4 linked regions of the Callithrix jacchus genome follow. The protein of the gene in region 4 interacts with the protein of the main gene of each other region in a biochemical or structural test. Links are inferred from orthologs where the notes say so. Each region holds a gene or a part of one and is shown on either strand. Other genes may lie near its edges.

Region 1 (4,872 bases), about 5.9 Mb from region 4:
TTTTTGTTACAGACTACTCAGGCATCTGGGGAAACCTACCTGTCCCTTCTCAAAGTCATGCTTTCAAAAGCATGAAACAAAATACAAAAGATTACAAATGAAACAGATTTTATTGAAAAAGCCATCAAAATATTTTTACAGGAAATGTGTGACTTAGTAATGAATGTGCTTCTGCATTAAGGTGTCACATACCAAGATCGTTCAATTGTTCTGGACCATTTGTTGAAAAGACTCCCTTATCTCTATTGAATTATCTTTGTACCTTTATCAAAAATAAATTGACTCTGTGGGTCTAAAAACAAATAACAAGATCTAGTGGTGCATCCTAATGACTGTCGTTTCCCAAAAATGAAGAGCATGGAGACTATTTCAAAACATCTGCAACAACGGAAAGTCACAGGAAAATATCTATGGGGACTGCTAACATTAGTTTGAATTACATGATCAATTAAAGAAAAAAAAACTTTAAAAAAATATACATTACTTTTATTTAGAAGTCTTAATGAGGACTACAGACTAAGCCCTGTAGGCCAGCCCTTCAGAGAGCTTGTCTCAGACTGCTCCTGCACAGTATTTTAATCTGCCGTTTATAAGTAGTGGGGGTTCCATTTATATTAAACTTGCTAGAAGTTCTATTAAAGCAGAATTATATTGAGTTTTGGGTGTAAGAGTATATTTGTTCATAGCAGCATAATTACTAACCTGTTCAGATGTTATCTTATGTGCAGGAAGAGGCAAGGACTAGTGTCATTTATCATTTCAGGAATATAGTGACTCAGACAAGAGATGTGGCAGGGAGGTCGGGGCATAAGTTCTATCCATTTTATCTTGAAAGCATCTTTCCAGAGAGCTGTACTTTGTCACAGAGTCAGGGACTTTGGGAAATTATGCTGGCGCACAGAAATGAGCAAACAGACCGGGCACAGTGGCTCACAGCTATAATCCCAGCGCTTTGGGAGGCCGAGGTGGGCAGATCACAAGGTCGGCAGTTCGAGACCAGCCTGGCCAACAGGGAGAAACTTCGTCTCTACTGAAAATACAAAAATTAGCCAAGCGTAATGGCAGGAGCCTGTAGTCCCAGCTACTCGGGAGGCTTACGCAGGAGTATTGCTTGAACCCGGGAGGCAGGAGTTGCAATGAGCCGAGATTGCCCCACCGCTCTCCAGCCTTGGCAGCCGTGTGAAACAAAAAAAAAAAAAAAAGAAGAAAGAAAAGAAAAGAATTGAGCAAACATGACTTATGTTTGCTACTTTGTGTCATAATAGGAAACCGCCAATATTGCACCAGTTTTGCGCTGCAAAAACAGCAATTGCACGCGGTTTTGTCTAACTCTACTCTGGTTTGTTGCCTATACTCATTGAAGGAAATCCTCAATATGAGGTAGAGGTGAGCGAAAACAATTATTATTTTTCCCTATCCAAGTTCATAGACCTCCTGATTTACAGCACGGATCCCTTGAGAACTCCCAGTCAGTGACTTAGCCAAGGATACTCAGCCAAAGTATCTCCCCTTTGTGCCCAGGGCCTGCCTGGCCTCCCCCTACCCAAGCAGCTAACCAGTGTCGGCCTCTGCCTCCTACAGGCTCCCTGTTCCCGCAGCTGAAGCCATCGGAGGGCGTCTTTAAGGTCATCTTCTGGCTCGGTTACTTCAACAGCTGTGTGAACCCGCTCATCTACCCCTGTTCCAGCCGCGAGTTCAAGCGCGCCTTCCTCCGCCTCCTGCGCTGCCAATGCCGTCGTCGCCGGCGCCGCCGCCCCCTCTGGCGAGTCTACGGCCACCACTGGCGGGCCTCCACCAGCGGCCTGCGCCAGGATTGCGCCCCGAGCTCGGGCGCCGCGCCCCCCGGAGCGCCGCTGGCCCTCACCGCGCTCCCCGACCCCGACCTCCCAGGCATGCCCGAGATGCAGGCTCCGGTCGCCAGCCGTCGAAAGCCACCCAGCGCCTTCCGCGAGTGGAGGCTGCTGGGGCCGCTCCGGAAACCCACCACCCAGCTGCGCGCCAAAGTCTCCAGCCTGTCGCACAGGATCCGCATCGGGGGCGCGCAGCGCGCAGAGGCAGCGTGCGCCCAACGCTCAGAGGTGGAGGCCGTGTCCCTAGGCGTCCCCCACGATGTGACCGAGGGCGCCACCTGCCAGGCCTACGAATTGGCCGACTACAGCAACCTACGGGAGACTGATATTTAAGGACCCCAGAACTAGGCCGCAGTGTGCTGGGCTTGGGAGTAAGGGGGACTAGAGAGGGAGGCTGGCTTTGTTCAAGAGGCGTCATGCAAATCAGAGACCCGACACCTGATCGGGGTAGCGCTCTGCGGCCTCCCTGAGGAACTGGGCGGAGCTTGAGGCTGGAACCCTTGAAAGGTGAAGAGTAATGGGGCCCCCTGGTGGACTCAGGTGCCCAGAGCTCTTCTCTTAAAAGGGAGGGGCTGCGGGCTCCGTGAGGCCATTTGCTCCCAATCCGTATTTGAGAAGCACTGCCCCATCCCCCATGCCCTGAACCCTGAGTAAACAGCCCCAAGCATGGCCAGGAAGGCCTGCCTCTCCTCTTCTGGGGAACTGGCACAGAAGCTTTGTGGCCAGTTGCCCCAGTGCCTCCCTTAGGGAAAAAGTCAGTGGGGCCAAGGCTCCTCAATGGACAGATTTCTCATTCTTACTGCCGACTGGAGGAACCCAGTAGACCTACCACCGCCGCCCACAAGCTTTGGTGGCAGATTGTATGGCCGTCATGCAAGTCTGTTGTATTTATCCATGGGCCCTCTGTCCACCACCCAGGCTCCTCCGTGCACCCCCATCATCTGGCCCTGCCCCTCATTACTTCCCCTCAAGGGCCTTACTGTTTACACTCTGTACATAGCTCATTGTGCCTGTGCCCATCACTTCTTGCTGGGATTCCGAGCCACCAATTGGAGAGCTTTATTTGTCGTTTTGAAACATATTTATTGGTAAGAGTACTTCTATTTTGTCCACACTGTGTAAACTGTCCCTCTTTAGCCCATAACCCGTAAAATCTACTTTTTTCCCCTAAAGTCTTTCAAGAACTAAAGGCCCACAACAGAATAGATTGGATCTACATTTGCCTTTCTGGTTAACTTAACTGATTCTTTAACTGATGGCTGCTGGGACTTTTAGCATAACCAAAGGACTTGGGGGTTTGTTGGGTTTTAAAACTCAGATGATCAGTCTTGTGAACCAAACAGTAATCCTAAGCACAAATACTCCCTTTGTCAGTCTCCCCAGATGCTTATGTGATGTTCTGAGGGCCTCAGTGAGGAAGGCAGCCATCAGGTAAATGGGTAAAACATAACTTTACATGAGAAAAGATATACAAGGCCGAGTAAGTAGGCGTACATGGCTAGTAAAAGAACCCATACCTAGGAACCATATTTATTAGCTTTGAGTATGTCATATTCCCATTTGTTGTATTCCCATGAGATTGCAGGCATTTTAGCTGGATAGTATCAACCACATATATCCAACCAGCATGGGGGTGACGGCGTGGCCCCATGGACCCTTGGTAGGAAAGTGGGTTAGACAATACACTGGGGTGTCTGGGGGTGCTCTGAACTGGATGACCCAGCTGCTGGGGCCACATAGACCAGTATTTTGAGCCCAAAATTTCCATTCTGTACTAGGTAGGTAGTCTCTCTGAAAGGTCACCAACAATTTCAGGCATCTCACCCAAATTTTACAGAGTTAAAAAGGCAGCCAATATCAGGGCTTGGAAGCAGACATTTCACACCATGAATCTGCAGTAGGTTCTCAGCTTCTCAGCTTTCAGGCCTGCCCCCCCGCCCCCCACCCCCGACTATAGGTGCAGGAAGGGAAGTTTATGGCTAGGAGCATGTTGGGTGCTGACAGAATGTTGCATACTCCAAAGAGGCTCCACTTGGCAGCCCATTGGCTGCCCTAAAGCTGGGGACACCAGGGGACAGCCCTCACTGTCTTCTGGCAGAGGTAGGGGACATCTGTCAAATCAGGGGTCAGTAAGGAGGCAGACCCCAAGTGTCAAAGAATTGAACATTGACCTCCAGGACAGGGGTGAGCCACACCTGTTTCAACAGCAGCCTTGGGTTTGTGGGGGGTCTCTAAGCAGAGCAAAAGTTGGTTCTGTTGCCAGAAAGGGGTCCCTATCGAGACCCCAAGAGAGAGTTCTTGAGTCTTGCACAAGAAAGAATTCAAGACAAGTCCATAAAGTGAAGGCAAGTTTATTAAGAAAGTAAAGGAATAGGCCAGGCATGGTGGCTCACACCTGCAATCCCAGCACTTTGGGAGGCCAAAGTGGGTGGATCACCTGAGGTCAGGAGATTGAGACCAGCCTAGCCAACATGGTGAAACACTGCCTCTACTAAAAATACTAAAAATTAGCCGGGCATGGTGGCAGGCACCTGTAATCCCAGCTACTTGGGAGGCTGAGGCAGAAGAATCACTTGAACCCAGGAGGCAGAGATTGCAGTGAGCCAAGATCACGCCATTGCATTCCATCCTGGGCAACTCCATCTCAAAAACAGAAAAAGTAAAGGAATAAAGATGGCTACTCCATAGGCAGAACAGCAGCGTGTGCTGCTCAGCTGCTTGTACTTATTGTTACTTCTTGATTATAGGCTAAACAAGTGGTGGACTATTCCTGAGTTTTCCAAATAGTCCAGGAAAGGGGTGGGTAATTCCCAGAACTGATGGTTTCTCCCCTTTACAGACCACATAGGGTAACTTCCTGGCATTGCAATAGCATTTATAAGCTGTCATGGTGCTGGTGGGAGTGTATTTAAACATGCTAATGCATTATAATTAGCACGTAAGAAGTGGTGAGGACAATCCGAGGTCACTTTCTTGGCCATCTTGGTTTTGGTGAGTTTTGATCAGATTCTCTCCTGCAGTC
Region 2 (5,960 bases), on a different chromosome or scaffold from region 4:
ATAGGCTGGCCTCATGGGGTTGCTCCTTGTATGTTAATTAATTGATTATTTGTAGGTGGGATCCTCTACTTCCTTGTTATTGCTGTTTATCAATGATTTTGTTTTGCTTTGGCTTTCTGTGATTAAGACATCAGCTCTACTCGCAAATAGCTTTTGAGCTCGAGTGCCAGTCATAGTCTCTGTATCTGTTAACCTTATTGAGAAAGGAGAAAGTGTCTGTTGGGCTTTGGCTCAGCTCTCTGTGGATGTCCAACAGCTGGCTAACTAGGCTGGCGAGGGAAGAACCAAGCACAAAGGCAGTGGAGTGCAGAGTGGCCATATTGTCAGCCATGCCATGTACCAGGAAAGGGGCTTTATGCTGGGCAGGTAGTAAACATTTTTACTTGGATCACTTTTTCCATCAATGCTCCATATATTTTTTATGTTAAATGTGATTGTTTTCATGTTTTATAAATCAATTCTTAGGAAAGAATGTTCTTGTAGAAGATTTTAGTCTAGGGTATATGGATATAATTAAGGTCTGTGAAGGAATTGGGGGAAAAATACATCCTTATATTTATTCACCTAAAACCAAAAGTAAGCATGTTTTTTTTTTCAATTATAGATGTGAGTAACAAACCCCAATAATAGAAGTGCCCATAACTTTGTCAATAATAGAAATGACAGATAATTTTATGACATGTTCCATGTGATTTATATACTTAAAAATAACAGTTATGCTCATCACTACATTTAAATTTTCCTAAAGACCTGCTGCTAGATCTTGTTAATTAACCTGTTAATAAATAAACATATTGCTACATCACATGTATTTTTAAAATGTTTTGCATATTGTATTTCAGTATAATTGTTTTCATTTAAAATCCTGGATATTTTGTGCCTTTAAAAACATTATTATGAGAAAGGTTTCTTAAGTTTCAACAGATGCCAAAAAGATCCATGGCACTAGAAGGCTAAAAGTCCCTGCAGCAAATATAGTATCACTATACTGCAGAATTTTCTAAAGGCAGTTTCTTATTTGTGGATGCGTTTTCAAATGTCTGCCTTTATCCACTACATATACAAATTAAGTAGATATAAGTATATTGAGGCGAACAAGATGTTTATTAAATGTGTAATGAAAAATAAGACATGAATTATGCTTATGTGTATGTGTCTGTATATATGTGTGTGTGTATATATATATATATATATGTTGATAGTTACCCAATAATGAAACTGCAGTGTGTATGGTATGGTTTTCATGATTCATAAATACATAGTTATAGGTTTAAAACCTCATAAAATCTTAGTAACCATACAGAAAGCCATTTCATAAGCATTACATCTTAAAGCTACAATGTATTACTTGAAGGTCAATGCTATCCTTTTCACAGGCTACTCAGAAAGAGATTGAGAAACAGAAGGTGCACCTGAAGAGTATCACAGAGGTAGGAGAGGCCTTGAAAACAGTTCTGGGCAAGAAGGAGACACTGGTGGAAGATAAACTCAGTCTTCTGAATAGCAACTGGATAGCTGTCACCTCCCGAGCGGAAGAGTGGTTAAATCTTTTGTTGGTAAGAGAGAAAGCTAGAAGATTTTACAACTTTCTCAGTCACAAGAAAAAGATACATAAGTGACCAATAATAATTTTCTGTTTGCTAAACACTGTGCTTTATTTTCTTAACCAGTTGTGTGGTGTGAGTATCAGAATTGAAACACTTTTTTGGGGGTAAAAAATAGAGCCTTTATATGGACAGAATTTTCTTTGTTATTTTAGTGAATTTGCTCTGTAATTCAGTGTATTTCAGTTCTGTCAAAAAGTGTAAATGTTAGTTTCTTGGTAAAGTCCTTTTCTTGCTACCTTGAAAAAAAAATAATAATTTTATGTTTGAAAATTTCTCAATTCCACATATATGCTGGCTCTTAATTCAATATCTATAACAATATTTTAATATATTTTCTTTATATTTGTGCAATATTCTATATGAAAATACCACTGAAAACTAATCTGAATGAAACTGTTATTGTCTTTTTAAAATTTTAGAACATAAGTAAAATTCTTTAAGTATATAATCTAACCAATAATGTCATGGTATATCTCTGTACAATTAAGGAATATCAGAAACACATGGAAACTTTTAACCAGAATGTGGACCACATCACAAAGTGGATCATTCAGGCTGATACACTTTTGGATGAATCTGAGAAAAAGAAACCCCAGCAAAAAGAAGACGTGCTTAAGGTAGCAAATAAAATATGAAAAGTCATGTTCAAATTGTACAGCAGTTACTTTCAATGATCTTTGTTCCAGAAGATACTAAGGCTGTCCTAATAAGAGTAAAGCAATCCTTTCTTCCTTTCTTTGTCCTTCCTTTTTTCCTTCCTTCCCCCTTGGAATGGTAATTAATAATTTGGAAGAATACTGTAATCTGAATATCTGTTCAAATCCACCACTCAGTTAGTTATACCCAATGTAAACTATGCTCGGAAAGAGATTCCAAGATTTATTTTGAAATCATATTGTAAATTTCTGCTTATGTTAATGGCAGTACTACATTCTTGGGTCTAGCACAAAGAACTGTCTCCTGCCACCATTTATTCAGCCCACCTGACATCCCATCATCTGAATGTTTTGCCTATGCCATATCTAAATCTTAGTAATTAGTCCTAATATTGGGCTTACGTAAAACTGAATTTTTCATTTTTTTTTTTTTTTTAATTTTTCATTTTTTACTGAATGTAAAGTAAACAACATTTTGGGTGCTCTCTTTTAGTATTGAAACTGATTGTTAGAATGCCCTGTCTTCTTTTTCAAGGGCAACTTAATATTTTCTTTAAAAAATGATTCTGATAAAAGGGTATGAGAGGTATAATATGTAAATGTATGTTATTGATGCTACATTGTTTCTATTTGATAATCTCTCCTTTCACAAACAGGTAGAGCTGAATTGTAACAGCTCTTTTAAATAAATATTTTTATTTTATTTTGTTGAAATGTTTGATAATTTTATTGATTAGTTTTTTTACAATTTAAAGAAAACTCAAAAATTATGTTTCTTTCTATGCAATTCTTTTTTATGCCTCTGATATTTTCCACAGATTGCAATCTATATTTAATGTAAAACTATAAATGCATTCCAGACTTTCCCTAAAACACATTTATGCCATTGTCTGAAATTTATTTTGATGTGGATCTCTATTGTCTGCTTCATTGTCCCTTGACATAGAGTCAAAGATGTCATCTTATAGTGAAATTCCTTCAAGACTTAAGGTCTGAGTTAAGTGACTTACAACTTCTGTGACCCGGCAGGTACCTCTGTATGTGACACAGTACCTCTGTATGTGACACAGAATTCGTATCTGTTAGAAAACCACATTTTTTCTTACAACACTCAATATAATAAACAAAGAAGAACTTGAAAGTGCCAGGAAGGAATAGAAAAGTATTCTTCAGCTACCTTAACTCTTGAGCATGTACTTAGCTTATTCCACAACTGTTAAATTCAGTAATGATATAATAAGATTAGATAGAATATATTATGATAGTTGCAATAACATAGGAAAACATCCCTATCCTTCCTCAGACTAATCATTTTAAATATACATGCATTAGACTTAAGGACAGTGACCTGTATTTCTGAAATCACACACATTTTCATTTTACTCCTGTTTTATGGACGTTGTGATTTTTTTCTCCCTTTCTATTTTCTGCATGTGCTTACTCTCTCTTACTTTCTCTCTTTCTCTCTCTCTTTCTTGTGCACTCTCTCTGTTTTGCTCTCTATTTCTATCTTGACTTTCATTAATTACTAACTTCAAGTCCTGTCTCTTGCTCGTGGAATATAGCGTTTAAAGGCAGAACTGAATGACATACGCCCAAAGGTGGACTCTACACGTGACCAAGCAGCAAACTTGATGGCAAATCGCGGTGACCACTGCAGGAAATTAGTAGAGCCCCAAATCTCAGAGCTCAACCATCGATTTGCAGCCATTTCACACAGAATTAAGACTGGAAAGGTAGGAAGATCTACTCCAAGGTGGAAACTAGTACTAAATGATCTCTTGCGAAGGTTGCACAGTACTCTGAAAGGGGCAAGTAGACCCCACGGCAAGGTTTTCAAAAGGAAAATGAAGGCCAACCTGTATTTAAGGAAATTTTACCACTGACTATAATGGGAGATAAATCAATCTCCTCTCTCTCTCTCTCTCTCTCTCTCTCTCTCTCTCTCTCTCTCTCTCTCTGTCTCTCTCTGTCTCTCTCATATCTCTCTTTCTCTCTCATCTTCTTTTTCTGCAACAGATATTCTAGAACTGCATTCTACACTGCAGTTTACATATGTACTTTCAGGGGTCACCTACAGAACAATAACAAATAACATGCTAAAGGCCAAAAAATTAAACCAAAAAGCACGCAAGTCATCCATCAAAAGAAAGCACTGCTGATATATTTTGCCAAAAGCACTACTGATACAATGTTGCTTGTATGTAATGTAGATCAAATATCCAAAATGAGGCCTTGTGTATATTCTGCAGGATCTAGGGTGTTTGTACCTCTTTACTGATTGTGCAAGTGTGTGTTTAACTTTATTTTGCTAGTTGCAGATACTGTGACAAAATTTTTTAGGCTATAATGAAATGTTCAAGCCATGAAAACCAATCATTGCAAAGCTTATATATATTCTAATTTTTTGTAATTTTATATGCCTATTTATATTTATACTGTTTAAGAAAAGCCAGGGAATATGGAACTTTTGCATGATAAACTTTATATTTGTTTATGATTTGATGAAGACAACATCTTATTTGATACGTAGTCTGCAAAAATGTATAAATATAGTATTATAGATTTGCAACTCTTGGGGAAGATTTGGAATGCCAGTAATTACCCAGAAATTTATATACTGTAGTTCGATAAATTTTCAATATATATGATATGCTTTTAAATATAAAAATGTACATAAAATCAATATATGTATTTAGGTATATAGATAATTGTTAGAAATATTCAGAAATGAGAAAACATTAAAGTATTTCTGAGAAATATGAAATAATATGTCAGGTAAGTGTTGATTTCTGGAAAAATAGAAGAACATATTCAAAATTTGTTTTGATATATATAAGCAACCAGGAATACCATGATTTCACAATTATTATACTTTCTAAAGCATTACAGTGTATCATCATGTTATATAATCGTACATATTTGGGGTCCAAAGTGGCTCCCGCCAGAGGTCGTGGCGCTTGCGAAGGCGAGGTCATGAGTTCAAGGCTAACCTGAGCAACCTTATAAGCTCAAACTGATTGGCAAAAAAAAAAGTACATATTTAAATTAGTTTTCAAAATAAATGTGACATGACAAATTCTAAGTAGTTGTTTATGTGCACGACACACAATTACCCTTCAAAATTCACCTTCCCAAATTAAAAAGTTGTTAGTTTACCTTAATTCACCACAAGTTATTTTTGATATTTAACTACTTAGTTTGCTTGCACTCTCTCCATACATAGAGCCTTTTGTAGTTGACCTTTAAAAGGCTATATTGTCTACATACAGATTGAGAGAATACAAGAGAACTAAGGAGTTAACTGTCACAATTATATATGTTAAAGTCAGTCATTATCACCTGCAAACAAATCTGACAGGCTCTTAAAACTTGTCGGAGTATAGTTTTGAAAGAATTTATTGTTACTCACAAAGACAATTGTTTTACTTCTGAAGATATCAATGGCTCATGTAATAACTAAACAATCTATGAAGGTTTATTTCAATAATTTAAAAATGCTACTCTTTCATTACTAAGATATAGATAGACACATGCACATTTTAATAAATCACTAAGCTATAGAATATTTAAGAGAAAATTAGTATTATTTTAGGATAAATTGTGTTATGATTGTGATTCAGAGATATTAAAAAATGGGTAGAATTTACTCTCCACCACAGACCTGACAGACCTAGCCAATACACGTTTGTGACCA
Region 3 (5,960 bases), on a different chromosome or scaffold from region 4:
TGGCAACTTAGGTTTCTTATGCCTCTCTCACACACGTGCGTATCTTCTCCCTTTATTTTCTGAAAAAAGGTTATATCACAGTATTTCACTCTAGCAGCCCAGCCCACCCCACTTATCTGTGGGAGATGCATTTCAAGACCCCCAGTGGATTCCTGAAACCATGAATAGTACCAAACTCGATTGCTGTCAATTGGAAAACATTACTGTTCATGTCTTCCACCCATAAATGTAATACCTTTTCATCTTAACTAAGCATTTATCACCCACTGTGAAGTGTGATAAATACTTTTTGCAGCTTGAGGTGCAACAGCAAAACTAGCACAAATTTATTTTGCCTTCTTCACAATTTTACAGATAGATTTGTTCTTACTGTGGATCTTAGCAACCTCAGCATTTTTTTTTTCTTTCCTTATTAAGTCAAGAACTTTCACCTTTTCTCTTAGAGGAAGCACTTTACAGCTTGTCTTTGGTGTATCTTATTTGCTAGCATCATTACTCTTATGCTTTGGGGTCATTAAGTAAAATAAGAGTGAGTTTAACACAAGCACTATTACATCACAATAGTTGGTTTGATCAACTGGATGATGATTCAGTGACTCATGGGTAGGTAGCATATATATTGTGGATCCACTGGAGAAATCTCACACCATCCCACTTTTCCCTGCCCAGAACGTGAGTAGAGTGAGATAGTGTGAGACTTCAACACGTTACTCAGAATAGCACGTGTTTTAAAACTTAAGACTTGTTCTTGACAGACTCTTGGCTAATAGGAAAAAACAAACAAACAAACAAACAAACAAAAACTTAAGACATGTTTATTTATGGAATTTTCCATTTAATATTTTCAACTGTTTGACCATGAGTAACTGAAGAAAGCAAAATCACAGATAATGGGAGACTATTATAGTCACATTATTTGCTATGTATATATTATTCACAGCTGAGCCATGTAGTGTACTATGGTTATATTTCCTAACACAAAAATTTCTTTTCCACTAGCATTTAATAACTGTATTTTGTTTTCACTTACTTGTTTTTCTATGTATTTGTCACTACTTTATCTAAATCTTCCAAAAGAAATATAAATTCCTCTCAATGTGTATAAATCAATTAATTTCTTCTTTTTCTGGGAGACATCCATATTAGAGCCCTTTAAGAATTCTGCTCCAACATGAATGAGTTGCTTTCTGAGCCTGCCACACACCAACATCCTGGGAATTCCCTTCACCTTTCTCCTGTGTTGGATTCCTTGTTTCCTAGCTACTGTGTTTTCCTCTATCTTGGTTTAATCTCTTATTTTGGATGAATACATTCTCCACTAGCTTTCTGATAAAAGTGTAAGGGTGATGAAAATGCTGAGACCTTTTATACGAAAAGGTCTCTATTAACTCTCACATTTGTTGGTGCTTTCCATGTTAGGGCCTTTTCCTCAAAAGTATTGTGGTCATTGACTGTTGCTCATAATTATGAGGCTCTGACCGGTTGACCAAATGCTGTGAGTAGAATGGATTTGTTGCACTGTGGGCTTCATTGTCAGGTGAGTAATAGGGCAGACACCCAGCTTTTGTGTTGAAGGATCCCCAGCTACCTGTATCAATCAGCCTTTTTCTCAGATTATGCAGTTTTCCATAGGAGGATCCTCCACAGGGTCCTGTCTTGACAGGGTTTGAGTCTGTCTGTCATCATTCTGGTAGCTAAATAAGGGAAGGGTACTGGGATTTGTGTTTAGTAGGAAGAATGATTTAGTCCCTCCCAACCTTCAGGCTGCCATGTCACCTCCACCCTTTACTGTACCAGAAGTCAACAACTCTATGGAGAAAACCTTGGTTTTCTTGTGAAAGTGAGGAGGGGGAGGAAGCTGGTAGGAGAGGAGAGCTTTTATTCAGACTTTCAATCTTCCTGGAAGTTGACAAGGGTAGCAGTGGGGAGAGCACCCAGCCAATACTTCTGCACAGAGAACTCTTACTAGCTGTGTAAACTTAAACAAGTTTCTTAATTTTTCTGAGCTTCAATTTCTTCAGCTGTAAAATGGAAACTCAGAGCTTTATATGTGCATGTCAAATGGGATTAATGAATGCAAAGCGCCTGGCATAATCTGCCTAGCAGGGGCAGTGTACTCAATTGTTGGCAGTACAACAGTCATGGTGGTAGTAGTTGGTAGTATCCTTAGCCTTGTTTCAGTGGACAGAAAGGAATCTCTCAAACTATCTAGCATTTTCCTACTCTCTCAAGAGGGAAGGCAGCATCACCTTACTCATCTTCTGCCAAAATGTTTACAGAATTTCAGGGGTGCAACAACCTTTGCAACTTGCCCTCTACTCCATCGTTCCCTTGTGTGCCCAACCCCAAAGCCCAGAGATAACTCTTTTATTTTTGGCTTCCATCCCAGTGAATTACTGGGAAGAATAGAAGCAAGGTCAACTAACCTACATCTCAAAAAAAATTTTAAGATACGTGACCTTGATGCTCTCCCTCCCATTCTACACACAATTCTTCCATTTCCTAGGGCAGTGCCCCAGATCTTCCTCCTACTTTTCCTGTCCTTCCTAATACCCTGGCAAGAGAGAAACAATAGAAATAGTGTTGTCTTCAGTATGTTAGAACTCCTTTCCCAATGCAAAATGAAATTCTTCCTTCCCCTACTTATCATCAGTTCTCTTTTGCTCTAATCCTTCTCCCCCCTTTTCTCTCACTGTCCTTTCTTGGGACCTTGATGCTGTTTTGTGAAAGGACAGCCTTCTTCTTCACAGTTAGTCTTTCCCTGAATCTTAGGATGTGTTTCCTGTCTGCTTTGGGGCTTCCAGTAGCATTGTTAGTTGGCTATATCTCAGGGGATTGAAGAGGGCAGGGGAGCTATAGAAGCTGGGGAAGTTGTGGATGTTTTGAAGAATTTAGAAAGCCTGATGGGCCACAGATCTGGTTCAGGATCTGAAGAAAAGTAGGATCCAATGTGCTCTGTATTTTTTCCCAGTCTGATATTTCAGTCCACAGGACTCTAGTAGGAATTTTTCATCCTGTATTCCTCATTAACACTCAACAACTGAAAATACACTGAATAAAATTTTTGAAGTAAGTCTTATTAACAAAAGTTGTGGTCAACTAAATATTAAGAATCAATCAACATTTGTTGGCAATGATGTAAATACAAAGTCATTTGGAAACTATGAGTGAATGAAGATGGACACAAGGATAGAGGAACAGGTCTCATCTAAGTACTCCTTATACTCTTGTTTCCTTTTTCAACCACACACTAACAGGGAAACCACACTTTATCTTTGCCTTCTGTGAATGGCCTTTTTTGAGTGCAGACCTTAGTCTGTCCTTAAAATTCTCTCCAGCAAAGTAATATAGCACAGGATTGAAGCAGCTATTGGCTGCTGCCAAGGCCAGTGTGATGACCAAAGCTTTATGTAGCCTGTCTCTGCATATACCCACTTTCCATGTCACCAAGTGGAGCGTCCTCAGTGTGTGATAGGGCAGGAAACACAAGAAGAAGATGATCAAGGCGAGGACAATGGTGATCAGTGTCTTCCTGTGAGAAACCCGTAGCCCCAATTCTGGGAGCTCCACTTTTAACAGAACTCGAATGATCAGCAGGTAACAGATGCTGAGTATGAAAAATGGGAGCAGAAAGCCCACCACCAAGGCAATATAGTTCATGGTCTGCAGCTTAGTAAGTTTATAGAGATTCAGCTCTAAGCATAATGTAATACTGCCATTCTGCTCAGTGGCACGATCCAGTAGCATTACTGAGGAAGCCATGATAAGGATCCATATGATCCCACACAGGATCCAGGCACTCCTGATGCTGATGATATGGAGAAGCCGAAAGGGGTGAACAGTTGCCAGGAAACGCACAACACTCAGCACAGTCAGGAAATAAATGCTGCTGTACATGTTGACATACAAGGAATAAGACATAATTCTGCAGGCCAGGTCTCCAAATATCCAGTTGGAGCCTCTAAGGTAATAGTCAGCCCTGAAGGGAAGCGTGCTTATGAACAGGAGATCTGAAATAGCCAGATTTAGCATGAAAATGTTAACGGATGTGGACTTCTTATAAGGCTGTAGGAAAACATATATGGACAAGCCATTTCCCAAGACTCCCCAGGCAAATATTATCAGATATACAATTGGGAAAAATTCTCTCTTGAAGTTTTCAATTGTGCAGTTACTGTTGTTGTTGTTATTGCTGAAGGTGGCATTTGGTTCCATTTCTGATAAGGAGATGGATGGATGTAAGGACATAAATGTTCTCTCCATCCTGGGTTAAAAAGAAACAGACACAAAAAGTTACTTTGTGAATTTCCCTTTTTCCTTCTTGCTTACTGATTATATCGCTCTAGGTTTTAATAAAACAGGGAGCAATACCATCTTTTCTTTGAAAGTTGAGTTTTAAAATATTGGTTAAGTCTTTACTATATGCTGCATTATATTTCATAATAAATTTACATTTTCTGATTTATAGAATGTAGAATAGCCATTAATTTGTTTGGCAGAAGTTGAAGCTTCAAACTTAGGGAACTTATGACCTAGTGCCCATGTTGACATGAATACCTCCCTGTGAACCTAAAACCGCTGAATAGTAGATTTCTCATCAGAAGCTGTGGAGCACAGAAGAAAATGGCACATTTCTCGAATGCTGAAAGAAAAGACCTGCCAACCTAGCATTCTATATCCAGCAAAAATATCTTTCAAGTACAAGGAGAAAATCAAGATTTTTTCAGATGATGGAAAACTAAGACTCTGTTGCCAGTAAACCTATCTTAAAAGAATGACTAGGCCAGGTGCAGTAGCTCATGCCTGTAATCCCAGCACTTTGGGAGGCTGAGGCAAGTGGATCACTTGAGGTCAGGAGTTCAAGACCAGTCTGGCCAACATGGTGAAGCCCATCTCTACTAAAAATATAAAAATTAGCTGGGTATGGTGGCAGGCACCTGTGATCTTAGCTACTCAGAAGGCTAAGGCAGGAGAATTGCTTGAACCTGAGGTAGAGGTTGCAATGAGCTGAGATTGTGCAATTGCACTCCAGCTTGAACAACAAGAGTGAAACTCCCTCTCAAAAGAAAAAAAGGAAGTTCTCTAAACAGAAAGGAATTCATAAAAGACGGAACCTTAGAACATTAGAAAATAAGAACATGGTAAGCCAAAATATGGGTAAATACAATAGACTGTCCATCTCTTTTAGAGTCTAGGTTACATTTAGCATTTTGATACAAAAATGTTAATGCTCTCTGAAGTGGTTTTAAATGGATGTAGAGGAATTATTAAGATAACTATATTATAAATGAGGGAAGGTAAAGAGACATAAAAGGAGGTAAGTTTTCTATACTTCACCTGAACTGATAGAATGATGATGTGAATAGATTATTGTAATATATATATATATGGAGAGAGAGAGAGAGAGAGGAGAGAGAGAGAGAAATACCTAGAGCATCCACTAAAATAATATACAAAGGGATATACTCAAAAACATTACAGATAAATACAAACAGAATTCAAAAAGTGTTCAGATAACCAACAGCAAGGCAGGAAATAGAAAACATAATAAAAACAGAAAACAAAAAATAAATTGCAGTCATCCCTGATTCATCAATAATTACATTAAATATAAGCAGTCTAAATATACCAATTAAAAGATAGAGGATTGAAATATATTTTTTAAATGACCCTATTATGTACTGCCTATAACAAATACTTCAAATAGCAGTATTGGCTGCTTGAAAGTAAAAGGATGAAAAAATGCATGTCATTCAAATCAAAGAAAATTGGGAATGGCTCTTTTAGTATCAAATATAGTGGACTTCAAAGGAAAGGACATTGCCAGAGACAGTGAGAGACACTATATAATAACAATGGGGTTTAACCACTATGAAGACATATCAATTCTAAATGGGTATGCACCAAGCAACAGAGTTTGCAAAACTAAAAAAACTGAAAGGAGAAATATTTGATGACTT
Region 4 (6,665 bases):
AGGCGTGAGCCACTGTGCCTGGCCCTGAGTTTTTTCTTTTTCTTTTCTTTTTTTTTTGATTGTATCTTATGAAGAGGATTTTACCCAAAAGTTCAGGGAGTCTAAACACTGGTGTGGTTCTATTTATTGCCCAACATATCCAAAAACAGCCACACCAGGATAAGAATCAATGACCCAGGTGGTAGTGCCCCTGCCTTAAAGGGTATGCACTACATGGCAGGCAGCGTTCAGTATCGTAAAGATACCCGCTGCATGGCAGACTTGGAGCAAGAGTCACTCCTGAAAGGGAGTTGTAGTATCTTGTGTCCAGTTCTTTTGGAAAGCTGGCCTAAGGCTGGCAATCCTGTGTACTCTGAGGGCTTAAAACACCTCTGGTATAATCGAGCCTAGGTGGCTATACACCCTGTCAGCTCTCTCGCTATTGTGCTGACTCAAAGCAACCTCCTATAGAAATCGTTAGTAGCAGCCTGCAGGTGGCTGTATACTCTGTCAGCTCTGTTGCTATTATGCTGACTCAGAGCATCCTCCTATAGGAATTCTTAGAAGTAGCCTGCCCCTAGATAAGAGATGCTGCACACTGCACCCTCCTTACTGTGCACTGTCCACCCCCTTAGGGGTGGACCCCTTGCTGCACATTGACCACCTCCTGTCTCGGCTACCTAATGGGGGTGGACTCTTTGCTTATTGCACACGTGATTGTCTTGACCCTATCACTATCCTTAAGATGACCTCACTCACTACCCTTCCCCCTAACCTATACCTAACGAATACAGATGTGCCTGGACGCTCAGGGCATCGCCTGTCTCCACTTGTAAGTGGCGTTGGCCCCCGGAGCCCAGCTGTCTTTATCCAGTCCTTTGGTGTCCTGTCTCCTTATTTCTTGGATCCAGTGCTTCAGCACAGTGATAGGGGACACTCCAGGACCCTAGTAGGGCTGGACCCTACACCCGACCTCAGGTGATCTGCCTGCCTCGGCCTCCCAAAGTTCTGGGATTACAGGGTTGAGCCACTTTTCCCGCCGAAAGTGATTATTTCTATAGCATAGGGATTCACAGTTTACCACGTGTCTTCACATTGATTTAATCCTCACACCAGCCCTGTGAAGTAGATATTATTATGAGCCACATTTTATGGATGAGGAAATTGGGGCCTAGAGCAGTGATGTGAAGGGACCAAGGTCGACTTGGAGCTAACAGAGCAAGGATTAGAAACCAGGTCTCCAGACGCCCAGACCCAGAGCCCCACCTTGCAGTCCTCTTCCCACACACTAGGAGTTCGAGATTTTTCTGCCAGGCCTCAAAGTGTGGGACTTCAGGTTTTTCTATCCTCGACTGTTAACAGAGCCAGGGATTAATCTCTTAAATTTCCCTCCAGTTTTGAAGTGGGGATCCTGCCTAAGCCCTAAGCGGAGCCGGCAGCTCTCTCCTCCGGGGGCGGGGCCCGTTACATCTGAAGCCACGCCCACTATAAGCCACGCCCACAGACCAAAGCCTCGGTTACCCCGATGCGAAACCAGCTTCTTCCTCCGCTCTCCAACTAAAACTCTGCCTGTAGTCTCTCGCGGCTCAGTATCTACCTTTTTTGTTGTTTGTTTTTGACACAGGGTTTCGCTCTGTCACCCAGGCTGGAGTGCAGTGGCATGATCGCGGTTCACTGCAGTCTCAAGCTTCTGGGCTGTCATCTAGGCTTCCCAAACTGTTGGGATTACAGGCGTGAGCCATCGCGCCCGGCCGATGTCTACCTATTAAACTCAAGCCCTGGAGTCCAGAGCTCCGCCATACGCAGCACGACGCCCAATGCTTCGCACCAGGATACGTGGTTCTGTCTCTTTTTCATGCGCTCCCACGTCCGCGAGCTACAGTCTCGGCCCTCGACGGACATTCCTAGCACAGAGACCCCTGAGCTGGATCACTGGGTTACTCCCCCGAAGAGAAGCCCCGCCCCCTGACTCCCCGCCCAGCACCACGCCTCCCAGGCGTCTCGCCTTACTTCGTGGCCCCGCCCCGCTCCTTCTAAGCCGCAACCTAGGTAGTTCCACTCGGAGGCCCTCGGCTCCCGTGCCCCGCCCCGGCCTCCTGCTCCTGCCCGAGGCCCCGCCCTAAGCGCTGGCCACACCCCTGGTAGCCCCGCCCCCAGAGCTCCTCCCCCAGCGGCCAGGGTAGGGTGGCGGCTGGCCCAGCCGGGCCCCCGCTGCCCTCTGCCCCGGGTGCTTGGTAGGAACGGGCAGGGCACGGCGGGACAGGGCGAGCACGGAGGTCCGGGGTCTCGGAGGCGAAGATGGCGTCCGGCAGGCGCGCCCCGCGTACCGGGCTGCTGGAGCTGCGCGCCGGGGCGGGCTCGGGGGCCGGCGGCGAGCGGTGGCAGCGAGTGCTGCTGAGTCTGGCGGAGGACGTGCTGACCGTGAGCTCCGCCGACGGCGACCCTGGCCCCGATCCCGGCGCTCCGCGGGAGCCGGAGCCCGCGCAGCTGAACGGCGCCGCGGAGCCAGGCGCCGGGCCCCCGCAGCTGCCTGAGGCGCTACTGCTCCAGCGGCGCCGCGTGACGGTGCGCAAGGCCGATGCCGGTGGGCTGGGCATCAGCATCAAAGGTGGGCGCGGGACACCAAGGGTACGGGGTCGCGGTGTCTGGGGACCGCTGAGGGCACAGGGGGCTGGCAGCGCGCCCAGGACATGGAGGCCTTCTGTCTGGGGGTAAGGGGATTCTGAGGAAACAGGTAACAGAGGGCACTGGGCGCACCAAGGTCGGAGGGGGTTTCTGTAGTTGGTGACCTTAGGGGGCACGGTAGCTACTGGTGTGGAGGATATTGTGGGAGCACCAAGGACACGTGGGTGGGGAGTTGTGTGTGGAGGCGTGGGGGTCTGAGTGGCAACCAGCATGAACATCAAGGACAAGAGGGGTCCCCCAAAAAGCAGAGAGTGGAGAAAGGGAGTTGAGGCTGGGACACCGGTGGAGCAGGGAGCAGGGAGTCCCTGAGAAGCAACCAAGTTGGGCGCAGGGCGGAGGCCTGGAGTCTGGGAAGCACAGGGGTGGATAGGAGGCCTGGGTGCAGGCACAGGCTGGGGTCACAGAGAGAAGGCCAGCAAGGCCTTAGGAATCGAAGGACCCAGGAAGGCTATGGGGAGCCCCGACAGCTGGATTTGAGTCTCCTGGTCTGAGTCACCTTGCACAGGATAGAGAGAGCTTTCAGCCCCCAAGACTGACCACTAGTAGGGTGCAGGTAGAGTGCAAACAGACTGCGTTTGAGTCCAGGACCAGCTGTGTGAGCCTGCGCAAATCCCATCCCATCTCTGAATCTTAGTTTCCTCAACTGTATAAGAGGATGATAGAGTTGTGACTTCTGAGAGCAGGGCTCACCACACCAGCACATTGTAGGTGCCTAGTTAATTACTGCTGTTAGCGGAGAGGAATATTGGAGTCCAGGAGATACTCCCAAAGCTACTAAACATAGTGCTTAAAATCCTTGCACAACCCCAGCTGCTGGGCTCACTATTCCTGCCTATCTGTTTCTCAGGGTTCCAGCCTCCAGCAGGGTGCTTTGGGAAAGGGTGTCAGCCTTTTTCTGCACCTTGAATATGAACTGTCCCCACCCAGGTCTCCCCAGTACTGATTCTGTTCACTAGTGCCTCCAGACCCTTTGGCTTGGCTGAGGCAGTGAGGATGGTAGTGAATGCCACCACTGCGTGCCATGTGTGGTGCCCAGGACACTAGTTTCATGATCCATTTTATCCTGGCAACAAGTGGTGAAAGATAGGGAATATAATCCCCACATCACAGGTGAAGAAACTGAGACTCAGAAAAGTAAAATGATTTTCCACGATTACACAGTGGGTGTCAGCCCTGGGATTTGAACCTTAATTATCAGCTACTGTCCCCTAGAGAGTGCTCAGGGAAGTTGATTCTTTCCTGCAGAATGGCAGATCCCCAGGCAGCCAAGAGGACCTAAAAAGGGGAAATGGGAAAACGAGCATATGGGCACCAGTCTTACCCCCAGTCTCCAGCATGGGATGGGACAACAGACCAATCCAAAAATTATATACTCAGTGTGTCACAGCAGGTTGTTTATTTATTATTAATATTTTTGAGATGGAGACTCACACTGTTACCTGGGCTGGAGTGCAATGCCATAATCTTGGCTCACTGCAACCTCTGCCTCCCAGGTTCAAGCAATTCTCCTACCTCAGCCTACCAAGTAGCTGGGATTACAGGTGCCCACCAACATGCCTGGCTAATTTTTTTTTTTTTTTTAGTAGAGAGGGAGGTTTCACTATATTGGCCAGGCTGGTCTCGAATTCCTGACCTGATGATCCGCCTGCCTCTGCCTCCCAAAGTGCTGGGATTACAGGCGTGAGCCACTGCGCCTGGCCTGAACTTATTCATATAGAGTTCCATTCTACAGATGGACACACTGAGACTCAGAGAGGAGCAGACTTTCTAAGTCACACAAAGTTCCCCCCCAGCTGCATACTTCTAGGTGGAGGGAGACTTCAGGTACTATCATAGGATCCAAATCCTTGTGGATGGAGACTGGGCTCCTGTTGTCATGGTAACCCATCCTCTAGAGTCTAGCTTAGTCTGAGGCAGCCATGAGTGATCATAGCTTCCAACCGAACTGAAACCCCTAGTTTCAGATGGGGGAGGACAGATATAAATAGAAACCCCTTTCTCTCCTAGACTTCAAGCTCTGTGCAGATAAGCAAAGTGTTGGGCCTGTGTGGGGGTCAAGAGAGGTGTTCCAATCCCAGCTCTGCCACCAGCTTGTGTCACCTTGGAACAATGACCTCCCATTCTGGGCCACTAATTCCTCATCTTCAGTATTCTGGGAATGAGCCAGGAGTGTGATATTTGAGGGCCTGACGTGCCATCTATCGTAGGGTGAATAGTGTTGGTTCTGGAGCCTGGAGGCCTAGGTGCAAATACGGGCTTCGCTACTTACCAGCTGAGTGACCTTGGACAAGGGGCTTCCCTCCACACTTCAGTTTTCCTAATAGGAAACTGAGCATGCCTATGAGATGGGGTATTGTAAAGACGCAATGAAACAACATTGAACGCATTCAGCACAGTGCTTGGCATTTGATACGTGCAACTAAGGTGAAGGTGAACTGTTATTACTATTTCTTATTTTTAAAGGGCTTTCACAGTTAAGTAATAAAGCGGTTTAGTAAAATGTATTAGCTTCTTTTGTATCCGATATGTAATTCAGACAGGCTTTTAGAATCTCTAGACTTTAAGGCTTTGGTTTCCAGCCTGGACCTTGGGTTGTAAAACATTATGATTGCTAAAGCAGTCTTTTGAGGCCATAGGAATAGCTGACTGCTATCTTGATTCCAGTTTGAGGGGTATCAGTGGATTCCCACATTGCTGCTTTTTTTTTTTTTTATGAGACAGAGTTTTGCTCTGTTGCCTAGGCTGGAGTACAGTGGCATGATCTCGGCTCACTGCAACCTCCACTGCCTGGGTTCAAGAGGTTCTCATGTCTCAGCCTCCTGAGTAGCTGGGATAACAGGAGTGTGCCATCACACCTGGTTACTTTTTGTATTTTTAATAGAGACAGGGATTCACCATGTTGGCCAGGCTGGTCTCAAACTCCCGACCTCAAGTGATCTGGTTACCTCAGCCTCCCAAAGTTCTGGGATTACAGGCATGAACCACTGTACCAGGCCCCCACATTGCTGCTTCAAAGCCAAATTTTTTTTGGAATTTTCTTTTTCTTTTTCTTTCTTTTTTTTTCAGATGGAGTCTGCCCACTCTGTCGCCCAGGCTGGAGTGCAGTAACGCAATCTCGGCTCACTGCAGCCTCTACCTCCTGGGTTCAAGCAGTTCTCGTGCCTTAGCTTCCCACATAGCTGGGATTACAGGCATACACCATCATGCCTGGCTAATGTTTGTATTTTTATTTTATTTTGAGAAGGAGTGTTGCTTTGTTGCCCAGGCTGGAGTGCAGTGGTGTAATCTTGGCTCACTGCAAACTCTACCTCCTGGGTTCAAGGGATTCTGCTGCCTCAGTCTCCCGAGTAGCTGGGATTACAGGCATGTGCCCCCATGCCCAGCAAATTTTTTGTTTTTATTTATTTATTGTTTTGAGATGGAGTTTCACTCTTGTTGCCCAGGCTGGAGTGCAGTGGTGTGATCTTGGCTCACTGCAAACTCCACCTCCTGGATTCAAGGGATTCTGCTGCCTCAGCCTCCTGAGTAGCTGGGATTACACACATGTGCCACCATGCCTAGCTGATTTTTGTACTTTTAGTAGAGATAGGGTTTTGCCATGTTGGCCAGGGTGGTCTTGAACTCCTGACCTCAGGTGATCTGCCTGCCTCAGCCTTCCAAAGTGCTGGGATTACAGGTGTGAGCCACCGTGCCTGGCCATATTTATTTTATTTTATTATTTATTTATTTTTGAGATGAAGTTTTGCTCTTGTTGCCCAGTCTGTAGTGCAATAGTGCAATCTCAGCTCACTGCAACCTCCACTTCCCAGGTTCAAGCAATTCTCCTGCCTCAGCCTCCTGAGTAGCTGGGATTACAGGCACCTGCCACCACACACAACTAATTTTTAGTAGAGACAGCATTTCACTATGTTGGGCAGGCTGGTCTTGAACTCCTGACCTCAGGTAATTGACCTGCCTCAGCCTCCCAATGTGCTGGGATTACAGGCATGAGCCACCTTGTC

What was found. The genes of interacting proteins can lie anywhere in the genome.
Region 1: the proteins of SNTA1 (region 4) and ADRA1D interact in a test that uses a peptide from one of them, tested with the Homo sapiens proteins (2 studies listed by BioGRID and IntAct). The link is inferred for Callithrix jacchus from reciprocal best matches to the Homo sapiens genes SNTA1 and ADRA1D.
Region 2: the proteins of SNTA1 (region 4) and DMD form a complex in vitro, tested with the Homo sapiens proteins (2 studies listed by BioGRID, with this or other methods). The link is inferred for Callithrix jacchus from reciprocal best matches to the Homo sapiens genes SNTA1 and DMD.
Region 3: the proteins of SNTA1 (region 4) and CYSLTR2 interact in a test that uses a peptide from one of them, tested with the Homo sapiens proteins (2 studies listed by IntAct, with this or other methods). The link is inferred for Callithrix jacchus from reciprocal best matches to the Homo sapiens genes SNTA1 and CYSLTR2.

What each region holds. Positions count from the first base shown.
Region 1 is NC_133506.1:11,729,269-11,734,140, reverse strand, and holds the end of ADRA1D (alpha-1D adrenergic receptor), read left to right. Parts: intron 1-1,581; coding exon 1,582-2,183; 3' UTR 2,184-3,086; downstream 3,087-4,872. UniProt on the Homo sapiens protein: This alpha-adrenergic receptor mediates its effect through the influx of extracellular calcium.
Region 2 is NC_133524.1:33,238,231-33,244,190, reverse strand, and holds part of DMD (dystrophin), read left to right. Parts: intron 1-1,376; coding exon 1,377-1,556; intron 1,557-2,095; coding exon 2,096-2,224; intron 2,225-3,828; coding exon 3,829-3,999; intron 4,000-5,960. UniProt on the Homo sapiens protein: Anchors the extracellular matrix to the cytoskeleton via F-actin. Ligand for dystroglycan.
Region 3 is NC_133502.1:67,254,087-67,260,046, forward strand, and holds the end of CYSLTR2 (cysteinyl leukotriene receptor 2), read right to left. Parts: intron 4,265-5,960; coding exon 3,220-4,264; 3' UTR 801-3,219; downstream 1-800. UniProt on the Homo sapiens protein: Receptor for cysteinyl leukotrienes. The response is mediated via a G-protein that activates a phosphatidylinositol-calcium second messenger system.
Region 4 is NC_133506.1:5,877,390-5,884,054, forward strand, and holds the start of SNTA1 (alpha-1-syntrophin), read left to right. Parts: upstream 1-2,148; 5' UTR 2,149-2,277; coding exon 2,278-2,587; intron 2,588-6,665. UniProt on the Homo sapiens protein: Adapter protein that binds to and probably organizes the subcellular localization of a variety of membrane proteins. May link various receptors to the actin cytoskeleton and the extracellular matrix via the dystrophin glycoprotein complex.